Linked DNA regions of Tribolium castaneum. Each later gene encodes a partner of the first gene's protein in a complex. Links are inferred from orthologs where the notes say so. Each region holds a gene or a part of one and is shown in the gene's direction. Other genes may lie near its edges.

Region 1 (4,202 bases):
AGTTCATTCAAGTGCAAATTTGCTTTTAACTCATATTATTCTTAACAAAAAATACAATTATGTATTTAAAAAAAAATCTATTTGTAGGAAATAAAAACCTTGACAAGTTTTGTAAAATAATAGCTAACAAGTCGCTCCAAATCGTACAGCATTTAAAGTCCGTATTTCCAATTATTTTTGAAACTTTATTCTTGGAGTACAAGTCGAGACAATTTGTTTTAAACCACAAAAAGCCGTAATAACGAAACTAATTTGGCGAAATAAATATTGGTAGGCAGTTTTAAAATTAATCGCGATTTCGTCGTAACAATGCAACAATTGAATTAAGAGATTACAAATTTCGAGGATACGTAACTATTATCTAAGTTTTGTTTATAATAGGCTTCAAACTAAATAAAAAATGACTTACACACCTACCATTCATTACGTAACATTTGGCGTCAATGAATAAAATAATGTAACAAAACGTGGGTCGTCAAATTCGATAAGAGTATTAGAAGCGAAGATAGTACTACTTTTATTTATTCTCTGATTAAATAATTTGACTCTAATGACCTTAGTAGAGATAAGAAATAGAAATCCATGTTAAATATGGGTTCAATGATAGAAATAGAAAAGATTTATCATGCTGACTAAAGTAATGCCAACAAACTCTAATTACTGCTGAAGAAGGGTCTTTGATAACGCTAACTGCTAGAGTTAACAAAAAAACTTGTGCTAACTTGGCAGTACTTTAAATCGTTGTTAGTACTGAAAGCAAAAGCGAGGCGTGCAAGCAATTACCACAAATATTGTGAGAAGAGCGGGGAGGCTTAGATTTTAACAATCTGACGACTTCACTGGGTTTAGCTGTCAAAAATAAAAATTTATTATTCGAATTTTGTAACGCTAATAGTAAAAATTAAAAATACAGGTGTGCGCAAAACAGGATAAAAAAATAATCATTTACCATAAATCGCATTTCTGTAACATTGAGGAGCCAATTATCTCAGATTTATTTGGATATTGATTGTTTTTCTAAAAATAACCCCTGCAAAAATCCATACCTGTAAATATCCGCTGTCTGGCTTGCATAAGCTGATTCCTATTCCTCACACGAACACATAAGTGTATCATAATGAACATTGTGACGTTCATGATTATGCTTTGGATCAAAAGGGGGTACTCAAAGTGTCTGCCGAACCTAAAAGCCCAAGATTCAAGTATGACTTTACTCAGAGCAGAGCAGCTCTTACCAAAACATGATACGTAAGGTGTTGGCCACCAGAAGGGCCAAGCAAACTAGCAGCGAAAAGCCCTCAGCATCTTGTGTCTTTCTGATTTGTCTGTACTGGGGGATGTAGGGGATGACACCTCCTATAATCATAGCACCAGCGCTGACCCAGCCGACCACTGTTCCCACCGTCAGGGACAACTCGTCCGATATCACCCAATCCATGCTTCTAACTACTTAACAACAAGCAAATGCCTTTTTATTTGCTGTTGCCCATCTTTATTACCACTGTGTTCACTCAACTGTCAAATGTCAACTAAAAATGTCAAGTTAAATGGGCTACGGTGGCGAAGGTGACGCGCCGGCGCGCCCCAAATTTAATTACAAATAAAAAACGACCCCTCTTTTGACACAAATCGGCAGTTTTTGCAATTGCCACAATCGCTAGTTTTTTTTCCCAATTAGACAATTTGTGACCTAAGGCGCACATTAACTTTTTTTTCCAATTTTTTATCGCGTAACCGTAGACACATATGTCATCGGTGTGGATAGGTTATGCTTCATGTCATTGAAAAAGGTATAAAAATAATTATTTCTGCTCTTTTACGCAATAGATTTATTGCAGCAAGATGATCACGTCCCGGCTCGTTAACCCAGTATGTAGGTGCCGGTTATTGCTGTTTTACAACCCCATATCCAACCAAATCAAGCGCGGCAAAAGCCGACAGGCCCTCAGCAAAACAGTGAGGAGCGAGGTTGATACTAATGTAAAACTAGGCGAAAAAGTGAAAGAAACGACAAAGACTGCTTCCTATTTAGGCATAATCTTGCTGGGCGTGGGGGTGACAGGCTCACTGTTTTATGCAGTTTTCAATGAGTTGTTCTCGAGTAAAAGCCCCAATAATGTGTATTCTAAGGCAGTTGAGAGGTGTAAGGCTGATCCCCGAATCCAGGATAAACTCGGACTTCCGATTACGGCCTTTGGGGCCGAAACAACGAGGAGGAGACGACAACATGTCAGTCATGTGATTTATAACAGAGATGGAAGGCAGTGTTTGAGGATGAAGTTTTATTTAAAAGGGAGTTTCCACCAAGGGACTGTGCAACTGGAGATGGTGGAGGTGCGTTTTGCAATTGTAAGCCATCCTGTCAGTTTTTTATTACTTTTTTTTAGAATGATTCGGGGAAATATGAATATCGGTACTTATTTGTTCAAGTGCACAGAATAACAGGTTTTACAGAAACGCATCTGTCCTTGTCCGGATAGAGCGAAAGTGTCACTAGCACATCTATTGTTGCCAGCGCGTACTAAGCGTTATCGGCGGGCGATTTGAATTGCCCGTAGTTACTTTTCTTTTAAAGTTTGATTGCATTTTTCGTATTGTTTGTAAATATTCACAACAATAGTTGCTAATAACACTTTCTGATGTTAGACAACTATTGTTGCTGAATATTTACAAAGAATACGAAAAATAAAATATGAGAATAAATAAAGACAATAAACTTGTAATAAAAATTTATTATCACTAGTCAATATACACGATACGATAACTATAAACTAATGATTGATCCATCAAATTATTTATATTCCCACAATAAAAAAGTTCAAAAAAGCACACACACGAAAAAAACCACAAAACAGTACTAATTTCACATAAAACAAAGCCGAGGGCGAACACCAAACAAACCAAGCACAAAATGGCGATTTACACAATGGCAACTGTCACAGGTCCACTGTTAATTTCTGCCGATATTATAGGTAGCTTCGCTAAAATTGACTATACGTGTGTGCGACATCTGCGATAGCAAGCCGAACTACAGTCGATTTTGAATTTGGCGCCTATACTTGGCTTGGTGCATTTAGGTTTCACCACCCTGGTTCAAGTGGACGATCTCCTACAAACAGCAATTGTTCTGGAAGACAACAGGAACGCAGTTTCGTCTTCTAGTTCGTCTTCAGAGCCACTAGACTTGACGTTGTAAATAAAACGATGATAATAAAGTTTGTTAAATTTTTATTGTTTTTTCTTCACCGGATTTTCTTCAAAAAACAGTATTAATCTCCTGCTAAAAATATAGTGCTTTATTTTTGCAATTATCCATGAGATTATTATGTAAAGTGAGAGGTACTGGATCCAGGCCCACTTCAGTACTTGCCAAAAGCCCGGCTTGTAGTATATCCTGTCTTCTGGAAATTCTATATTTAAGTTTAATACGAAATTTTGAGTTTTTCCAGGAGAAAAACTTTTATAGACGTCTCTCAATGATGTGGATACTGAAAAAATATGTTAGTTATTGCTTTGTAGATTCTTTAACTTATACTGTTTCTCTTTGAAAAGTTTGTGATAATGGTATTTATGTCATAGTTATTTAAATCCCCATTATCCACAATCACAGGATAATTAAATAACGTATTGGTGTTTTTTCTGTGGCAAATTAAGGGGCTAGTTTGGGTCACAACCACATTAGCCACCAATGAATACTTCGATATATAAAATGGTAACAATTCTTGAAAAATAATGGCAGTCTGCATTTCAAGAGGACAAACCTATTGGAAAAAAACAGAAATATAGAAAAAAGAACACATTCGAATTTCTTACTTGTAATTTATAATTAAATGGAATGATTATGCAAAAAGACGTGAGGTGAGTATTAACTGGAAGATTAACTTGGAGAGACAAATCTAATTCTTCTGTTTTACCATCAAAATTTCTGTCAGTTTCACGAACCTAAAAGGCACAATATGTAAATTAATAGTTACAAAACTGAAAAAAAAAACCTTGATGACTGAACAAGTATCTAAAGGCCGCAATACATTATCAAAGTGGGGTAAATTACTACACGTTATAACAGACTTATTGTAATTATTCGTAGTAGCAACAAAAATGTATTCTCCTCGAAATTTTACATCCGGTTGTTCATAAAAAGTGTCTCTTTTTAACCACAAGCCTGAAAATTTGCTATCAGAACTATCTAATTTATTAAAATT
Region 2 (4,077 bases), on another chromosome or scaffold:
ATTCACAAAACAAGAACTAATAAACGCAGAATCAAAAACCTAACGAAACGCAAATCACAAAACACAATAAACGAACAGAAAATACTTGCGATTAACACCGATAACACTTTCGACAACCATGCGATGACGTCTATAATTTACTGTCAATGTCAGTTTGACAAATTCGTGGCACTTGACGGTGTTGTCGAAGTGCACATGTAAATTAATGTTCAAGGATACCACCCTTAGATAGCCCTTAGCTGTTTAAATTTGCATTATTTTTGATAATTTTTTATAGCTTTATGTTGGTAATGAAAAAATGAAATTGATGACGCACACGCAAATCGAGCTGACCGCCACTATAGCAACGTTTTCTTTGTACACCATTAAATTTTTATTATGATTACCCCAAACCGCACGGACCCTTCAAGCTAATCACTGAGGCAAGCTTATTGTGTGATTTATTGCAGACAAGTTGTACTCTTTCAGAGGAACTAATCGGTATCGTAAATATTTTCGGGTCACCCTTGTCAAGACAGCTTATTGTGAGGGTTGCTTATGCTAAACACCATTATCTGTTGTAAAACTTTATGGTGTACAAACAAAATGTTGCTACAATAATTTAAGACGATACGTAACGAAAAGAACCCTTAACATATTGCTTCCCTTTCTCTCAGGCTCGACCATATTTTATCTAATATCTCTAAAACTACTTATCGTAAGAGAAAAGTGAAGGCTAATTTGGGATCCTAAAACAATTTTACGTTTAATATAAATTTTCGATTATTGTGATCTTGATGTTTTTTTTATTAACACAAACACGATTAAAAAGAATGACACCATTATCAACCGTACCGGATAGTCAAAGTACGACTAAAATCTTTTAAATCATGAATTTGGACAAACAGCTTGGTTTACAAAACTGTCCAAGTAATTTGCACAATATGCAGTTGGTTTATAAACTAGCCAAACATACACATTAACCATATCATATCAAAAGATTTGTGGCTACGCTTTTAGGGGTGTCATTCTTTTTAATCGTGACTGTACGTATCACGTATACATGGTGATCCCGCACAGCTTCGTCTTCTATATCTCATTTAATATTAAAGTTGGACTTTTGATATTTTGTAGGCGTTATTTATGCTGTAGGACGTATTTCAGGAAAACATTTTCATGTGACATACGTTGGTATGTAACATTTACTTACCGCCCACGGACTGTAAGTAAAATGTTACTGCAAGGTAACGATGTAAACTTACAGCAGACTAAAAAGTGCCGATTACAATGAAAGATATTTGTCAGTGAACGATGACTTACAAAACAGTAGGTATTGCAAAAAATTAATAATAAATAAGAAATGATGCTTTCTTGATGACTTTATTAGTATGTAGGTCTTAAACAAGGTCTAACTGAGGCTAGATGCACTAATCAAGTTGGATTGATCTAAATTATACAGGGTGTTTGCAATATATTTCCAAACTTTTTGATTAATATTTATGTTTTTATTTATTTTTGGTAGAAAAATAAAATCTACTTACAAAAAGGTAGACAAATTTTAAATCGTCGAAGAGTTTACAATAAACGTCGAAAATAGAAAATAACATACCGATCTCTTTCTTTAGATTTACAGACTGATCCAGAAATACTGAGTCTGTTGGCAACACTGGACTTAAATTTTTAAGGATACCAATGGAGTACTCTTCTAGTTAACAACAATCTTGTAGGGTTGTACGTCAAATAATTGTCAAAAAAAATCGAATTCGGTTGCAATGTTGCAATTTATGAGTACAAATACTTCCAAATGTGTTGCCAACAGACTCAGTATTTCTGGATCAGTCTGTAGCTCATTTCACAAGTGAGATTTTTTTGGAAAATGTATACATAAACAATTTTGTCTTTTTTAATTTTCCAAATTAGTCGCTTTTTCCAGGAAATTAAATTAAATACATCGAAAATGACTATTTTTGAATTTTTTTTAATTGAATTCAATTCAAAAAGACAAAAAACACACTACGTGCCACTGCTACCAACACAATTTCGTTTAATTCAACCATGCCAAAAAAATTATAAATGGTTCCGTAGCCCCAGTGCAAAGTCCCATCGTGCAGGTTTTTATCATTTTATGTAACAAAACCCCCGGTGGAATTTTTCCCCACGATTTGAACCGCAACGTGTTTGACAGTTGCATCCTAACCTCAAAATGTACAGATCTACTTTTAGAACTTTGAACGTGTTTAGTAATTTATTTCGACACAAAACCTCCCTAATTCTCACACGGAACGGCCCCCGAGTGCTGTTCAAGTCACCACTAGTCATAATTCAACATCGGAATTACGCCGAAGATGCAAAAAAGCAGCCGGTCAAGTCGCCCCTCGGTAGTCTCATAGCCAAAGAAACGAACGAGAAAGCAAATTCGGAGGAAGAAGAAGCAAGAAAACAGCGAGAGGCGTCATGGCGAACAATGAAACTCACACTAATCTTCTTCGGAGTGTCTTTCACGTGTTTGGGTTCGTACTTGATTTTTGTCTTGGGGGCTCCGGAAAGAGACAGAGAGGGGCGCGTGATCGAAGACGACTTGTCGCACTTGCCGCTGTGGCGCCAGTATTTAATGAGAACGTACCGGGAGTTGGATAATTACAGGAGGTTGATTAAGGAGCCCTCCAGGGACAAGTTATTGCCAGACCCCCTTCAGTACCCCTATTTACAACCTAAATATACTCTTGTCTTGGAACTGACCGATGTTCTGGTGCACCCCGATTGGACTTACAACACTGGTTGGAGGTTCAAGAAGAGGCCAGGTTTAGATTACTTTCTTGAGTCTCTTCATGGACATTTCGAAATTGTTGTCTACACGGCGGAGCAAGGAATGACGGTTTTTCCCCTGATTGAGGCCATGGACCCCAAAAACCTCATCTCGTACAAGCTGGTGAGAGACGCGACGCACTTCGTAGGCGGGCACCATGTCAAAAGTCTGGACAAATTGAACCGGGATTTGAGTAAAGTTATTGTAGTGGATTGGAATCCGAATAGTGTGCAGTTCCATCCGGAGAATCTTTTGAAAGTCAGGAGATGGGAAGGGGCTGATGAGGACTTGTCTTTGGTTGATTTATCGATCTTTTTGAAGACGATAGTTGATAATAATATTGAAGATGTTAGAGAGGTTTTACTGTATTATAGCAAATATGACGATCCGATTGAAGCATTTCGAGAGAAACAGAAAAAGTTGATGGAGCTTTTGGAGGCACAAGGGGCGAAGAAAAAAGAACAGGAAGCTAAACCGAGACCGTGGGTGCCGACGATTTTCTCAAGGAAGCAGTTCTAGTTAGATTAATTTAAGGCTTGTAATTATTTCGGTAAAAATTAAAGTTTGATATGTAAATAAAGCGGGTGTTTTATTTTTCTTATACATAAAACCCTATTGATCAAGACAAAAAAATTCTTGGCCCAAAATTTGTCGTTGGTATTTAATTTAACACAGAACTCTTTTCTTATGATACTCTCAATTTGTGCTTTATATCACTTCGAAAAATTTAAATGTACTGTTGCAAAATTCTACTATGAACTGAAATGGGATATACACTATGTTCCGTCTAAACTCCACATTAGAAGTACTGAAAGTTCTAATAAAGATATTCATCTGGAAGTTGGTACTCAACCATAATCGGTTGAGTTCTTTTCAATAAAAATATTTTTAAGATGCCGGCACTTCCGGTTATACCAGAAGTTGGTATCAACTTTCTTATTTTAAAAGCTGTTTTTCACTGCGTTTTTGGATTAGTTGAGTTATTTAAAGGCCGTTTTTATCAGCTTTTCCTATACCTGACTTTAACCGTTTTCGGGATATTTAAGATTCCTTGAAAAATTTTGGTTTTGCTTAAAAAATCGGTAACTTTCTTTGTTTTAAAGATTTCGAAATCATATTTGGAGAATTAAAAGAGAAAGCAGTTATTTGTTTTCCAGTGTGTTCAAAGTAATTTAATAAACCCAAAAAATTTAAAGTTAAGTTTGAACAAATACTATTAAGAATAATCTGACGTTTCGTATTGAAAAATGTCGAACATTTGTCAAAAATGCCTTATGCATTTTATTTATTTA
Region 3 (3,865 bases), on another chromosome or scaffold:
AATAAGACTAATAAAGAAGAGGAAACAAATTTGGCATTGTTAAATACTCGTATTTTCGGGAGGCAACCGTTTAATTCGAGGGTTTGAGCCACCATGTCTCGCAATTCCACTTCTTCCTCAACTGACATTTTCCCACTTAAACACACGGTTTGCAACGAATTGTCAATCACAGCACAAACAACTGAGCAATTTCATTAAAACAACAGAAAACAAGACCTAAATGAAAAAAAATTGCGTTCCCTCAACCCCCATTTCAATCACCTGTCACTTGTCAAACGTCATTTTTAAACCAGCGGACACCAAACAAACACCTCAGCTCAATTTTTTTATTATTAAATTTACAAGTCAGTGATGTGCCGAATGTGATAGCCGTCTTGACGGCGACCGCCTTATGCTCTTCAAGACCGAAAAAATCGTATTCGGGGCTACCCCCAAGTTCAAGAATTCGACCAAAATCCTACAACATGTTGACGATTACTGGTTTGTTGATATTTCAGGTTTCAGGAAAAAATACCTGAAAACTTTTACATCCATGTGAACACCTGCCAATTCGCCTAATAATTGGAGCTCATCTTGGTGGGGCTGCAGCCGCCCGGAAAAATTTGAAGATGTCTCGGTGTGCATTTTGAAACTTGACACGCTTATGCCAAATAGCGGCTTTTTATCCGACAAATTATTAGTTGAACTCATCAAAAATTCGATCAGTTAAATGTTTTCGGTGTTATAGCCCCTTACACCAACCGCCAAACTGTCGCATTTTGACACATGTCAACAAATTTTAAATACCTGATTGAAAATTAAAAATAGCTCGATAAAGTCTCGCCATAATTACAAGATAATTTGTGATTGATTTACGTCCAAAGGTCCAAACGTTCAAAAAGTTCAATTAATTTTTACAATTTCGTGACAATGCTTACGTCCTGTGATTAGTTTGCCGAAATTATTTTAACTTAAATTTTTACTAAGTGGCCGCAATATTAAAAATCTAAATGTTGGAAGTACAAACAGCAAAGATTCGTGTACGAAAATTCAGCTTTGCAGTACAAGATCTGTCCTGTTTTTACTCTCAAGAAAAGTGCACTCATTGAACAAGTCATAGACAGAAACGCACAAGAAAGACGTAACCGTAAATTATTAAAAACGCACATCCTCATTACAAAAAATGCACGGAATAGTAATATATTCGATATTTGTTTAAAATTGTAAGAATATAAAAAAATCATTAACCAGTATTTTATTTGTTACTAAGTTTTAGATAATATGCCACTGTGATAGAGATTGCACCAATTCAAATATAAGTTTACGTGTATTACATTTCTAACAGTCACCTGTCAAGCACATATTACATACTTGCATGTAATGCCTCACAAAATAAATTTGTGCTGTAGTATAAATTGAGTTCCTATATTAAATTATAAACGATTAAATGCTCTTTTTTTATTAAAATGTTAGTCATGAGAAGTCCATTTTTAATAGAGGTAATTTAATAATAGTAGACTAAAAATTTCTGCTCCTAAAAATCCGACAAATATGTTTCTGTTTATGACATTTCTAGATTTAACCGATTCTACCAAAGAAACAATGATTGCGTCCTGTGAGTAGGTTTCCAAAATTATTTTACCCCAAATTTCAACTAAACGGCCGTAATTAAAAAAAAAACACGAATACTGCAAGTATGAGCAACAAAAAGTAACCATTTTATGCGCGAAAATTTTTCTTTATCCCCTCAAGATCCGTCCTGTATTTACCCCTTCCGACATTTTCTCGACCTTCGTGTCGCATGTGTGTGTGTGTAACAATCAAATTACCAAATTTCGGCCAAAAACTCGAAAATTTCCTGTGTCAGTGCTCAAAAAATGTCAGCCTTGAATGATACCGACATTTATTCCCAAAATTACAACACCACAAGCGGCAATTTAGGTAAAAACCCCGACATAACCTCAAACCCCGATTATATAAACCCAATTCCAGGATCTTACAAACAATTCTCGTCACCATACCTCAACTTTGACCCCAGTTACCTGCCTCAAGCCCAACCCGAGTTCATCTTCCTCGAAGGGGCTAGCAAACAACGGGGGCGATTCGAGCTAGCCTTTGGCCAAATCGGGGGCTCTTGCATGATTGGGGCCTCGGTGGGGGGCGCCTCCGGGTTTTATAACGGCTTGAAAGCGACCACTTTGGCAGGACAAACGGGGAAATTAAGACGGACACAGTGAGTTTCTTCAATTGGTAGTGTTTTTCACTGATTGTAATTGTAGGTTATTGAATCATGTTATGAAACAAGGCAGTGCCACAGCCAACACGTTCGGGTCCATAGCTGTGATTTATTCAGCGTTTGGCGTTTTCCTCTCGTGGGCACGGGGGGCTGATGACGATCTTAACACTATTATTGCAGCCACGGCAACTGGTTGTTTGTACAAGTCCACAGCTGGCTTAAGGAAATGTGGCTTAGGTGGGGCTGTGGGATTAGGAGCCTCTGTTTTGTACGCCCTCTGGAATTCGCGAGATAAATTCACACAGTTGAGGCCACTCAATCCGGCGTAAGATTCTGTTTGTTTTAGAAACGAATTTTAACATAGGTTTTAGGTTAACTTAAGTACTGATTGGCTAGACAACTAAATTATTTTAACAATTTCCATAGATAGTACAATTTATCTACATAGTAGAGCGCTTGTGTTACCAATAAATTGTCATTATTTAGATTGGACAAGCCAATTTTTGGTAGGATATAGAAAGTTATAAAAACGATTTTTACCACTTTTTTTATACTTTCTATCAACTTATCGTTTGTATATAATTTGTGCTGTGATCTACCATTGTTACATATGTAATAAAAATTGCAACTATTCTTTTTCGAAGCTTATTTTTAATTCATTATTTTTCTGCAGGCAACGGTAGCGAGCCAGGAAACCGTTTTAACCCTCTGGTTTTAACCAAGACTGTAGATAAGTGTAAATACATTTCCAAATTATGCGAAAATATTGTAAGTTATTTAATAAATTTATTCACGTTTTAAGTAGCTTGAATTATTTGCGTTAACAGTGGCCGGCATTTACAAAATTTCAGCGATTTCTTAACATCAAAAATTAAAAAAAAGAGTAGTTTTAGTTTTTTACTACTATAATAAATTTGTTTTAAAACGCTGATTACGGCGAAACTAAATCAGCTACGAGATAGTCTTGTTCTATTGTAAAGAATACATCAAAATCTATTACGTAGGAGGGTTGCATGTTTTAATCTCCCAGTTCTACAGGTGCTCAAAAACTGGCGCACCAACTCAGTGGTACGTTATTGAGAAGCAAGTGCAGATTACGGGAAAAATGTTGAAAAAATTCCCAAAGTTATATTTTAAAAAATCTGGAGCTACAAACTTATTGTGTTAACTTCTTTAGTTTTCATTATTTTTTTATGTTTTTATGTTTCATACCAGGTAATCGTTCCGTAACAAAACGATGAATAATTATTTTTAAATTTACTATCAGATTTTAGCAGTTTTTTTAATTTAAAAAAATTAAAATTCATCCAAAAATCACAATGTGTAGATGTGCCAACACTGGGAATTATTTCCTAGGAAACCGTTTCAAAAATAATTTATTTTTATTGTTGCTCAAATTCTATTGCGATCATGACTATTAGACAACGTTGCCACATATCATTTATATAAAATCCATTATTTATCAATAACTTTAATACAAAGAATTTTTTTACTATTTTTACCTTTATATGTTACCAATTCTCTACCACACACCATTGAGTTGGTGCGCCAGTTTTTGAGCACGCTGTATAATTTCAACAAATAAAAAAATGAAAATATCAAACTAAAAGTTTTAGTTCTTGGTAGTTCAGACTTAGATTTTAATATTGT
Region 4 (3,356 bases), on another chromosome or scaffold:
TCCTTTTTTAAAATAGTATAAGTAACGCATATACAACTTAAAAAAATGAATTAATAGCTTGTGTTTGCTCGATTCTATTCGACTCACAAAAATCTGGGTTGTTGTGATTTTTCAAATTAAACATAGCTCTGACTTGTCAATTAAAACTTTGTATTTAGATGATATTTAGTCTTCAGCACATCGTATTAGAACTTTTGTTACTCTCTAAAATAAAAACCTTTAATTGTCCGTTTGGAGAGGTGTCCGCTAATGGGAGGTTTTGTTACGTTCCTACAAAAATGTCCGTTGTGAAGGGGTGTCCGTTCAGGAGGTTACACTGTATTAAGTAATCGTTACAAAGGCGCGAACAAAGTGGTTTGTCTGATTCACTGATTTGTTGCTAGATTGCTTAACTATTTTTTTTGTATCTGAAATATAGAGGTGCATGTTGCTGTCCAAATCTCTGAAATATTTTTAGATTCATTCTTTTTTAGAAAATAATATTTTGTTTTCGCGTTCATCTTTTCTTGATTTTTCTAAACTGAAGTAAGTAGTCTTTAAAACATCCGTATCCTCACTTACAGACTTCACAAGGCATTGTTTTGGTAGAATTTAACAGCTTATTCACCGACTTTTTTAACTGATTTATTTAGATAAGAATTGGTTTGTTATATGGAGGTGAATGACAGTAGCGTATAAAAATAAAAAACACCGAATTGTAAATCGTTTAATTAGAAAAAATCCTGATTTAAAATAAGTTATAAAACACAATTCAATTGATGACAAGTTTGAGAAAAATTCATTTAAACGCAACCGTGTCCAACATCGCCCCTAAACACTGTACAATATTATTAGTCATCAACAAATCAACTTTCTCCTCAAGATGCCGTTTCGGATCCTGTTTCCCGACATTTTTAATCGCCAACTGCTCCGGCGTCATCTTCTCCTCTTCCTCCAGCGCCTTGTTATAATTTTTGGCCAATTCTAAAACATCAGCGACTGTTTTTTCATTAATCCCGCAATTATTTTTATAATCTGCGAGGATTAAGCCATCCATCCACGACTTCTTATGCAGATTGAGTAACATCTTTTGCTCTAATTCATTCTTCCGGTAGTTTATACTAATAGAGTAGTAGTGTCTGTTCAAACCGTGAATCAGCGCTTGAACTGACGGCTTCTGCAAGTGCCCCAAATTGGACGTCGTCTGGCGGGGCTCCTGCCCCAGGACCATCATATTCGGGTTGATTAACCTAAAGGCATCGATGACGACTTTGCCCTTGACTGACTGGATGGGGTCCACGACCACGGCCACCGCCCGCTCACTCAGGGCTTCAAACGACTGCTGGGTGTTGATATCCACCCCCGACAGCCAGCACCCGAACCCGGGATGGGAGTGGTACCACCCGACGACCATCTCCGGGCGGCCCGTTTGGCGCAACATGTCCAGCATTTTGGCCTGGAAGACGGGGTCCACGGCCTCCACACTGACCCCAGTCCCGGTCTGGGGCATCGCGAACACGTCGATCACCCTCACGGTGTAGTCATCAACGAATTCACCTGAAGTTTTCGGTAAAATTGATTGTGCAAAGTCATGATGGAACTCACCCAACATCAGGCCCATGACTTCCATGGGGACCCCAGCCCGGCCATGCTTCAACATCTTCAAAAGGGCCAACGACGAGATGTACACTTGCTCGGCCGTGTCCACCACGGGGGCGTCCGACGGAGGGGGCGCCTGAGACAGGCCCGGCATTCCGCCACCCAAACGAAGCAAACGATCCATTTTACTCAACTAAACACAAATTCAAGATTCTGTCAAAAATTGCAAATCATGACGTTTGAATGACATCCGACAGTTGACATACCGGTATTGTAACTCTCTGCGATGGCAAACGACGCGCAAAAAAAGAATCTCCTGCACGAGAAGTACGCAAGTGGGCCCCACGGACTGGGTAAGAACGGCACTATTGTTCAATTGAGTAAATTCGAGTGCGAAAGCACCTTCTTTGACTCTGTTGACCGGGACGTATCAGTTACCGACCGAGCAACCAAACGCAACAAAAGGCGGTTAATTTGAATTGGTTTCAGGGGACCCCAACGACCGCACACTGCGAAGGGTTGAGATCGACGTTATGATCCCGAAAAAAATGCGCGAGATTGCACGAGACGAAAAATGCACCGATGCCGTCGAGAAATTCACCGAATGTTGCAAAAATAACAACATTTTGATGACTTTCATGTGTCGTAAAGAGAACGCAGCACTGAAAGAATGTCTGACTCGTTGGTATGAAGATGAAGATTTTAAAAATCGGTGCAAGGAGGAGTATTTAAACGAAAGGAGTGAATACAGGAGGACGGGAGTTACGCAAAAACAGAAACAAAGAATGGCAACTTCCATGTAATTTTTTTTTGTAGTAACTAAGTAGTAATAAATTAATTTTGGTCCATTTGGGGGGTCCACCGCTTCATTATTGTTTCCTTGATCGTAAACTTGCCAATCTCGTTGAAGGGGATTGAGTCGGGGGAAACACCGGGGCACACAATCTCGCAAATCAGCAGTTCCTTAAAAAAACAATAGGGTGATGTGCACAACTGCACAGTTATTGGACAGGGATAAATAAGGTCTCTTGATTTCATATTGCTATGACATAACGCGCAAACTATTTCTTCTATTGTGTTTCTTTGAAATATAAAACAGCTTCAGCAGAACGGTCGTGACTTTCAGAGTTTAATTTTTTCAATGAGACTAATATTTCATTTAAAACTTTTTTCATTGCAAATGTAGCAAAAACTTGGTCTTCACCGGTCAATTTTTTGTTTACTATACTGTTATAGTTTGCCACTAAATCCAATAACTCAAAAAAATTATCTGTTTGAAGTTGTAGCAGTGTATCGCAAAATATCTGCTATTACTGGCAATGTACTCTCGATTTTTCTGTACAAGTGCTGAGAAATGCTAATAATAAAGATAAAGTCTCTGTTATAAGGATGACAACAGTGAATATTAGCTGGATAAGTTAATATATGCCAGTGAGGAAGAAATAGAAGCAGAAAGTGACAAAACTAAAGAAGAAGAAGAAAAAAAGAAAAGATTCGGAACACAAAGAATAAAAAACTAAAGAACAAAATGACTAGAGTGATCGTGATTGAGATGAGTGACGTGAATTATTAATTAAGTATTAGATTGGATTTGAAATTTTGTTGGAAATTATACAACAAATAACTATTTTGGTCATTAGATCCCTGTCCAATAACTAGTTCCGGCGTCCAATAACTATAATTTTTGCAATAAATAAATAAAAATTATCTGTATCTTTACTCTGAAAAGGGTATAATTATTTTTTTAGTTGAGATTTTTGCTAACTGTCCAATAACTG
Region 5 (3,666 bases), on another chromosome or scaffold:
ACTAAAACCTCTGAACTCGTCACTCAAATCTGATTTTTTCGCATTTTTAACGTCTTCAAAATTAAAATTCTCGTTTAATTTATTCCTGGCCTGGTTGATTGCTCTTTCGGACATTACTGTACATTTCCCTGAAGCTGTCTTAAAACCCGAAAAACTTGCGTTATATTCCGAAATTTTCGTATTAAAATCTTCGCTTAATTTATTCCTAGCTTGTTTGATTGCACTCTTAGACATTAGGGAACTTTTCCCTGAAGCTGTTTTAAAACCGACAAAACTTGTGGTAGTTCCCTCATTACTGTTCCTATTCCTAGCTTCTTTGACTGCATTTTCGGATCTTAAGGAATTTTTTCCTGAAGCTGTTTTAAAACCTGCAAAACCAGTACTTAATTCCTTGTTACAACCTTCAGGATTTAGCATGTCGTCAAACAACGTTCTGGCCTTTTTCAAGGCTTCATCAGACGCTTTGAAACCTTGATTATCAACTTTGTTGGGTTCATTTTTACAATTAAAACCTTGGGGAGGAGTCAAAATTTCGGCTCTTTTCAACACATCATCAGAATTTTTATCCAAACTCCAGTCTTTTTCTATACTTTCCAAAAAGTTTTCGGTTTGGCTTGGGGTTAAAACATTGCTGGAAGACGCGTCCAGAAACCGGTTCGTCAAATTAACCCGACTTTTTTTCTGTGATCTCTTGCTTCTAATCCATTTGCGTGATATTTGAGTGCTTAGAATAGGTGATAAAGGCCGGTCTTCCATTTTGAGGTTGGAAAACCGAATTTTCACAAACTTGCCCAAAATTCACTAACGTTTTCAACAAACACCAACTATTAAAGCAACCAAAACTTATTCAAGCACAAATCGTAGAAAAAAACACTCACATTTTTATTTTTTACAAACAGTAAACACCGCCATTACACATCAACAATTTCAAACGTTAGGGACTTTCAGCCAAACGTTGGCACAACCGTTTTTGAAAAAAGATTTTTCAAATAAAAAAGAAATTCCAAACGAAAGTACTATATAATTGGAAAACCAATTATTAAAGCAACCAAAGGTGATTTAAGTAAAAATTGTAAAAAAACACTCACTTTTTTCTTCTTACAAGCAGTAAACGTCGCCAGTTCATTTCAAACACTAGAAACTTTTGATCAAAGTTGACTAAGCTGTTTTAGCAAAAATTAAATTTTCAGATAAAAACGCAATTCCAAATGAAAATAAACATTTCAATTCCAAATAAAAATAAACAATTTCGCTAAAGTGAGACCCCATTTACCAATGGGGCAAAAACGTTGAAATAAAACAATTGCAACGCAATTTGCTTAAGAAACGCCGATCGTTCATTTTGAGATTGGAACATTAAATTTCCACAAATTTACCAAAAATTGATCAACGCATTCAACAAATAACGATTATTTAAACAACCAAATGTGGTTTAAGCACAAATTGTGGAAAAAACTCACTTTTTTGCTTTTTTAAAAACAGCAAACGCCGCCATTACACACCAACAGTTGCAAACACTAGGAACTTTTGGTCAAAGGTTAGCTAAGCTGTTTATGACAAAAATTAATTTTTTTAAATAAAAAAAATAAATTCCAAAGAAAAATAACGAACAATTGTATTACAATGAGGCCCCTTTTACTAAAACAGTATTTCATTGGGGCCAATAATTGAAATAAATGATTGCGACGTGAGATGTTGGCACCTCTGACTGTGTCAACATAACCCAACAAAAAATGTTCTTAGTCCGAAATTTAAAACAGTTTTCAACGTTTAATAAACGTTGTTGCGTGTATTTCACCAAAGTTTCGTATTCTAATGCACATTCAAAGTTTGTCACCCCAAAGAGCCAAGCCAAACAAATCGGCCCTTTGGGTTGGTTCCTCCTGGTCAGGTCACTGGGTTTCACCCAATTTTACCTTAACCAGGCAATTTTAGGTCATCCCAGCCTCAACTTTCGCACTTGGGACATGGCAAGTGCAACGTAAAAAATGGAAAGAGGATTTAATCGCAAAATTACATAACTTGACTGAGGCTGATCCCGTGCAATTACCAACCGAGTCCGTACATTTCTAAGTCAATTACACAAATAACAAAATGTCTTGTAGTTTAAATGAGTTGGAAAAGTTGGAATATCGGCCGGTTCACGTCCGGGGCGAGTTTCTCCACGACAAAGAGTTATATTTAGGCCCCAGAACTTTAATTTTAAAAGGCGATTCGGCAACTAAAAGTCAACTCATGTCGACCACAACAAAGCAAAACCAGGGTTTTTTAGTCATTACACCGTTTAAATTAGCTGATCGGAATGAAACGATTTTAATAAATCGGGGTTGGGTACCTTCCAAGTGCAAAAATCCAGCGACAAGGGACAAGGGACAGGTGAAGGGGGTTGTTGATGTTGTTGGTATAGTACGTCTTCAGGAAAATCGCCCCACTTTCATACCAAAAAACCAGGAAGGCAGCAACCAATGGTTTTATCGCGATTTGAATCAAATGGCCAAGGTTACAGGAGCGCTTCCTGTGCTTCTGGAAGCCACTACTGATTTTGATACTTCTGAGGGCCCCATTGGGGGGCAAACTCGGGTCACTTTACGCAACGAACACTTGTCATATATTCTCACGTGGTATAGTTTAAGCGCAGCGACGTCTTACCTGTGGTACAAACAATTCTTAAGTCGGGTTAAATAAATGTGAAAAATTCGCTGATAAAATTTATTTTCCTACTTTGTACCATGTAAATAACAGCTTGTAACACATGAATTTTCTCATATAAATCTTTCATAAAAAGAGGAAGAAATTCAACAGTCTATTAATTAAACGTGTGGATATTTGAAACATCTTTGGCAAACATTTGTCTAGTCAACAATGTGTAAAGCATTCAATTGGACAGAGAGAAATTTCGAGATGGGACATGCAGAGAATCTGTCGCCACAGTCACAACGTTTATTTGGCACTTTGCACATTTAATACTTTAGGCGCAATAATACAATGTGGCAACAAATTTCAGGTAATCGTAACAGTGTGTTTTAATAGAGCATGTTTGGTCCTAAGTGAACGAGAAAATAGTTAAAAAAAAACAGAGAGCAATAAACTTTACCAAAAATTGATTTCGATAATCCATTACATAATAAATTCGAATATGTTAAAATAAGAAATAGATACATCAATATTATTTACTAAACATATATAAAAATATATAAAATTATAAAATAACATATACTTTACGTTAGATTTTCTCTTTTTATCGTACATGCTCCAATGGCAGTCAATCGAAATAAAAAATTCAGATATGGGGTTTTCAAATTTACTTACTCTAACTTATTCGTATTACTTCTTCTTCTTGCCCGAAGAATTGCTTTTAAAATTATTACTAATACCATTTGTTGCATGCGGGACGTTACCATTGGCCATTCTGCAACAAATAATCCAACATAATTTTTTTTGTTACACAGTTGGCAAAATAGTAGTTTATGTTTCAAAAAAAACATCGATGTTTGTCTTAAAAATAAATGTCTGTATTTAATTACATTTTCTTCATATTTTTGTGTCAAATAAATTGGTAAAAGTAGAAATATTTAGGCACAAAAGTATCAACTTGCCTGTGTTCCACTCGGGGCACAGCCGCCCTTTGATCATCCATTCTCCCCGACTGAAACCTCATAATCAACG

The links.
Region 2: mitochondrial import inner membrane translocase subunit Tim21 (region 1) and mitochondrial import inner membrane translocase subunit TIM50-C share a complex: the UniProt entries of both Homo sapiens proteins name them as parts of the TIM23 complex. The link is inferred for Tribolium castaneum from reciprocal best matches to the Homo sapiens genes TIMM21 and TIMM50.
Region 3: mitochondrial import inner membrane translocase subunit Tim21 (region 1) and mitochondrial import inner membrane translocase subunit Tim23 share a complex: the UniProt entries of both Homo sapiens proteins name them as parts of the TIM23 complex. The link is inferred for Tribolium castaneum from reciprocal best matches to the Homo sapiens genes TIMM21 and TIMM23.
Region 4: mitochondrial import inner membrane translocase subunit Tim21 (region 1) and COX assembly mitochondrial protein homolog share a complex: the UniProt entries of both Homo sapiens proteins name them as parts of the MITRAC (mitochondrial translation regulation assembly intermediate of cytochrome c oxidase complex) complex. The link is inferred for Tribolium castaneum from reciprocal best matches to the Homo sapiens genes TIMM21 and CMC1.
Region 5: mitochondrial import inner membrane translocase subunit Tim21 (region 1) and Surf1 share a complex: the UniProt entries of both Homo sapiens proteins name them as parts of the MITRAC (mitochondrial translation regulation assembly intermediate of cytochrome c oxidase complex) complex. The link is inferred for Tribolium castaneum from reciprocal best matches to the Homo sapiens genes TIMM21 and SURF1.

Annotation. Positions count from the first base shown.
Region 1 is NC_087398.1:6,904,106-6,908,307, forward strand, and holds mitochondrial import inner membrane translocase subunit Tim21, read left to right. Parts: upstream 1-1,593; 5' UTR 1,594-1,790; intron 1,791-1,838; 5' UTR 1,839-1,842; coding exon 1,843-2,334; intron 2,335-2,387; coding exon 2,388-2,423; intron 2,424-3,091; coding exon 3,092-3,196; 3' UTR 3,197-3,228; downstream 3,229-4,202. Other genes in the region: solute carrier family 66 member 2, read right to left, coding at 784-849, 1,047-1,183, 1,236-1,438; transmembrane protein 231, read right to left, coding at 3,229-3,488, 3,536-3,761, 3,814-3,942, 3,993-4,162. UniProt on the Homo sapiens protein: Participates in the translocation of transit peptide-containing proteins across the mitochondrial inner membrane.
Region 2 is NC_087399.1:10,216,904-10,220,980, reverse strand, and holds mitochondrial import inner membrane translocase subunit TIM50-C, read left to right. Parts: upstream 1-2,008; 5' UTR 2,009-2,182; coding exon 2,183-3,304; 3' UTR 3,305-3,365; downstream 3,366-4,077. UniProt on the Homo sapiens protein: Essential component of the TIM23 complex, a complex that mediates the translocation of transit peptide-containing proteins across the mitochondrial inner membrane. Has some phosphatase activity in vitro; however such activity may not be relevant in vivo.
Region 3 is NC_087394.1:25,694,537-25,698,401, reverse strand, and holds mitochondrial import inner membrane translocase subunit Tim23, read left to right. Parts: upstream 1-1,733; 5' UTR 1,734-1,856; coding exon 1,857-1,920; intron 1,921-1,971; coding exon 1,972-2,212; intron 2,213-2,258; coding exon 2,259-2,540; intron 2,541-2,586; coding exon of another isoform or gene 2,587-2,596; exon of another isoform or gene 2,597-2,858; intron 2,859-2,888; coding exon 2,889-2,898; 3' UTR 2,899-3,016; downstream 3,017-3,865. Other genes in the region: centrosomal protein 43, read right to left, coding at 48-128. UniProt on the Homo sapiens protein: Essential component of the TIM23 complex, a complex that mediates the translocation of transit peptide-containing proteins across the mitochondrial inner membrane.
Region 4 is NC_087399.1:7,831,280-7,834,635, reverse strand, and holds COX assembly mitochondrial protein homolog, read left to right. Parts: upstream 1-1,796; 5' UTR 1,797-1,864; coding exon 1,865-1,931; intron 1,932-2,067; coding exon 2,068-2,381; 3' UTR 2,382-2,412; downstream 2,413-3,356. Other genes in the region: Rpn11 (26S proteasome non-ATPase regulatory subunit 14), read right to left, coding at 779-1,536, 1,585-1,762; Tsen2 (tRNA-splicing endonuclease subunit Sen2), read right to left, coding at 2,413-2,541. UniProt on the Homo sapiens protein: Component of the MITRAC (mitochondrial translation regulation assembly intermediate of cytochrome c oxidase complex) complex, that regulates cytochrome c oxidase assembly.
Region 5 is NC_087394.1:36,916,303-36,919,968, forward strand, and holds Surf1 (surfeit locus protein 1), read left to right. Parts: upstream 1-1,676; 5' UTR 1,677-1,733; coding exon 1,734-1,886; intron 1,887-1,935; coding exon 1,936-2,057; intron 2,058-2,105; coding exon 2,106-2,685; 3' UTR 2,686-2,698; downstream 2,699-3,666. Other genes in the region: breast cancer type 2 susceptibility protein homolog, read right to left, coding at 1-756; pins (G-protein-signaling modulator 2), read right to left, coding at 3,325-3,409, 3,597-3,666. UniProt on the Homo sapiens protein: Component of the MITRAC (mitochondrial translation regulation assembly intermediate of cytochrome c oxidase complex) complex, that regulates cytochrome c oxidase assembly.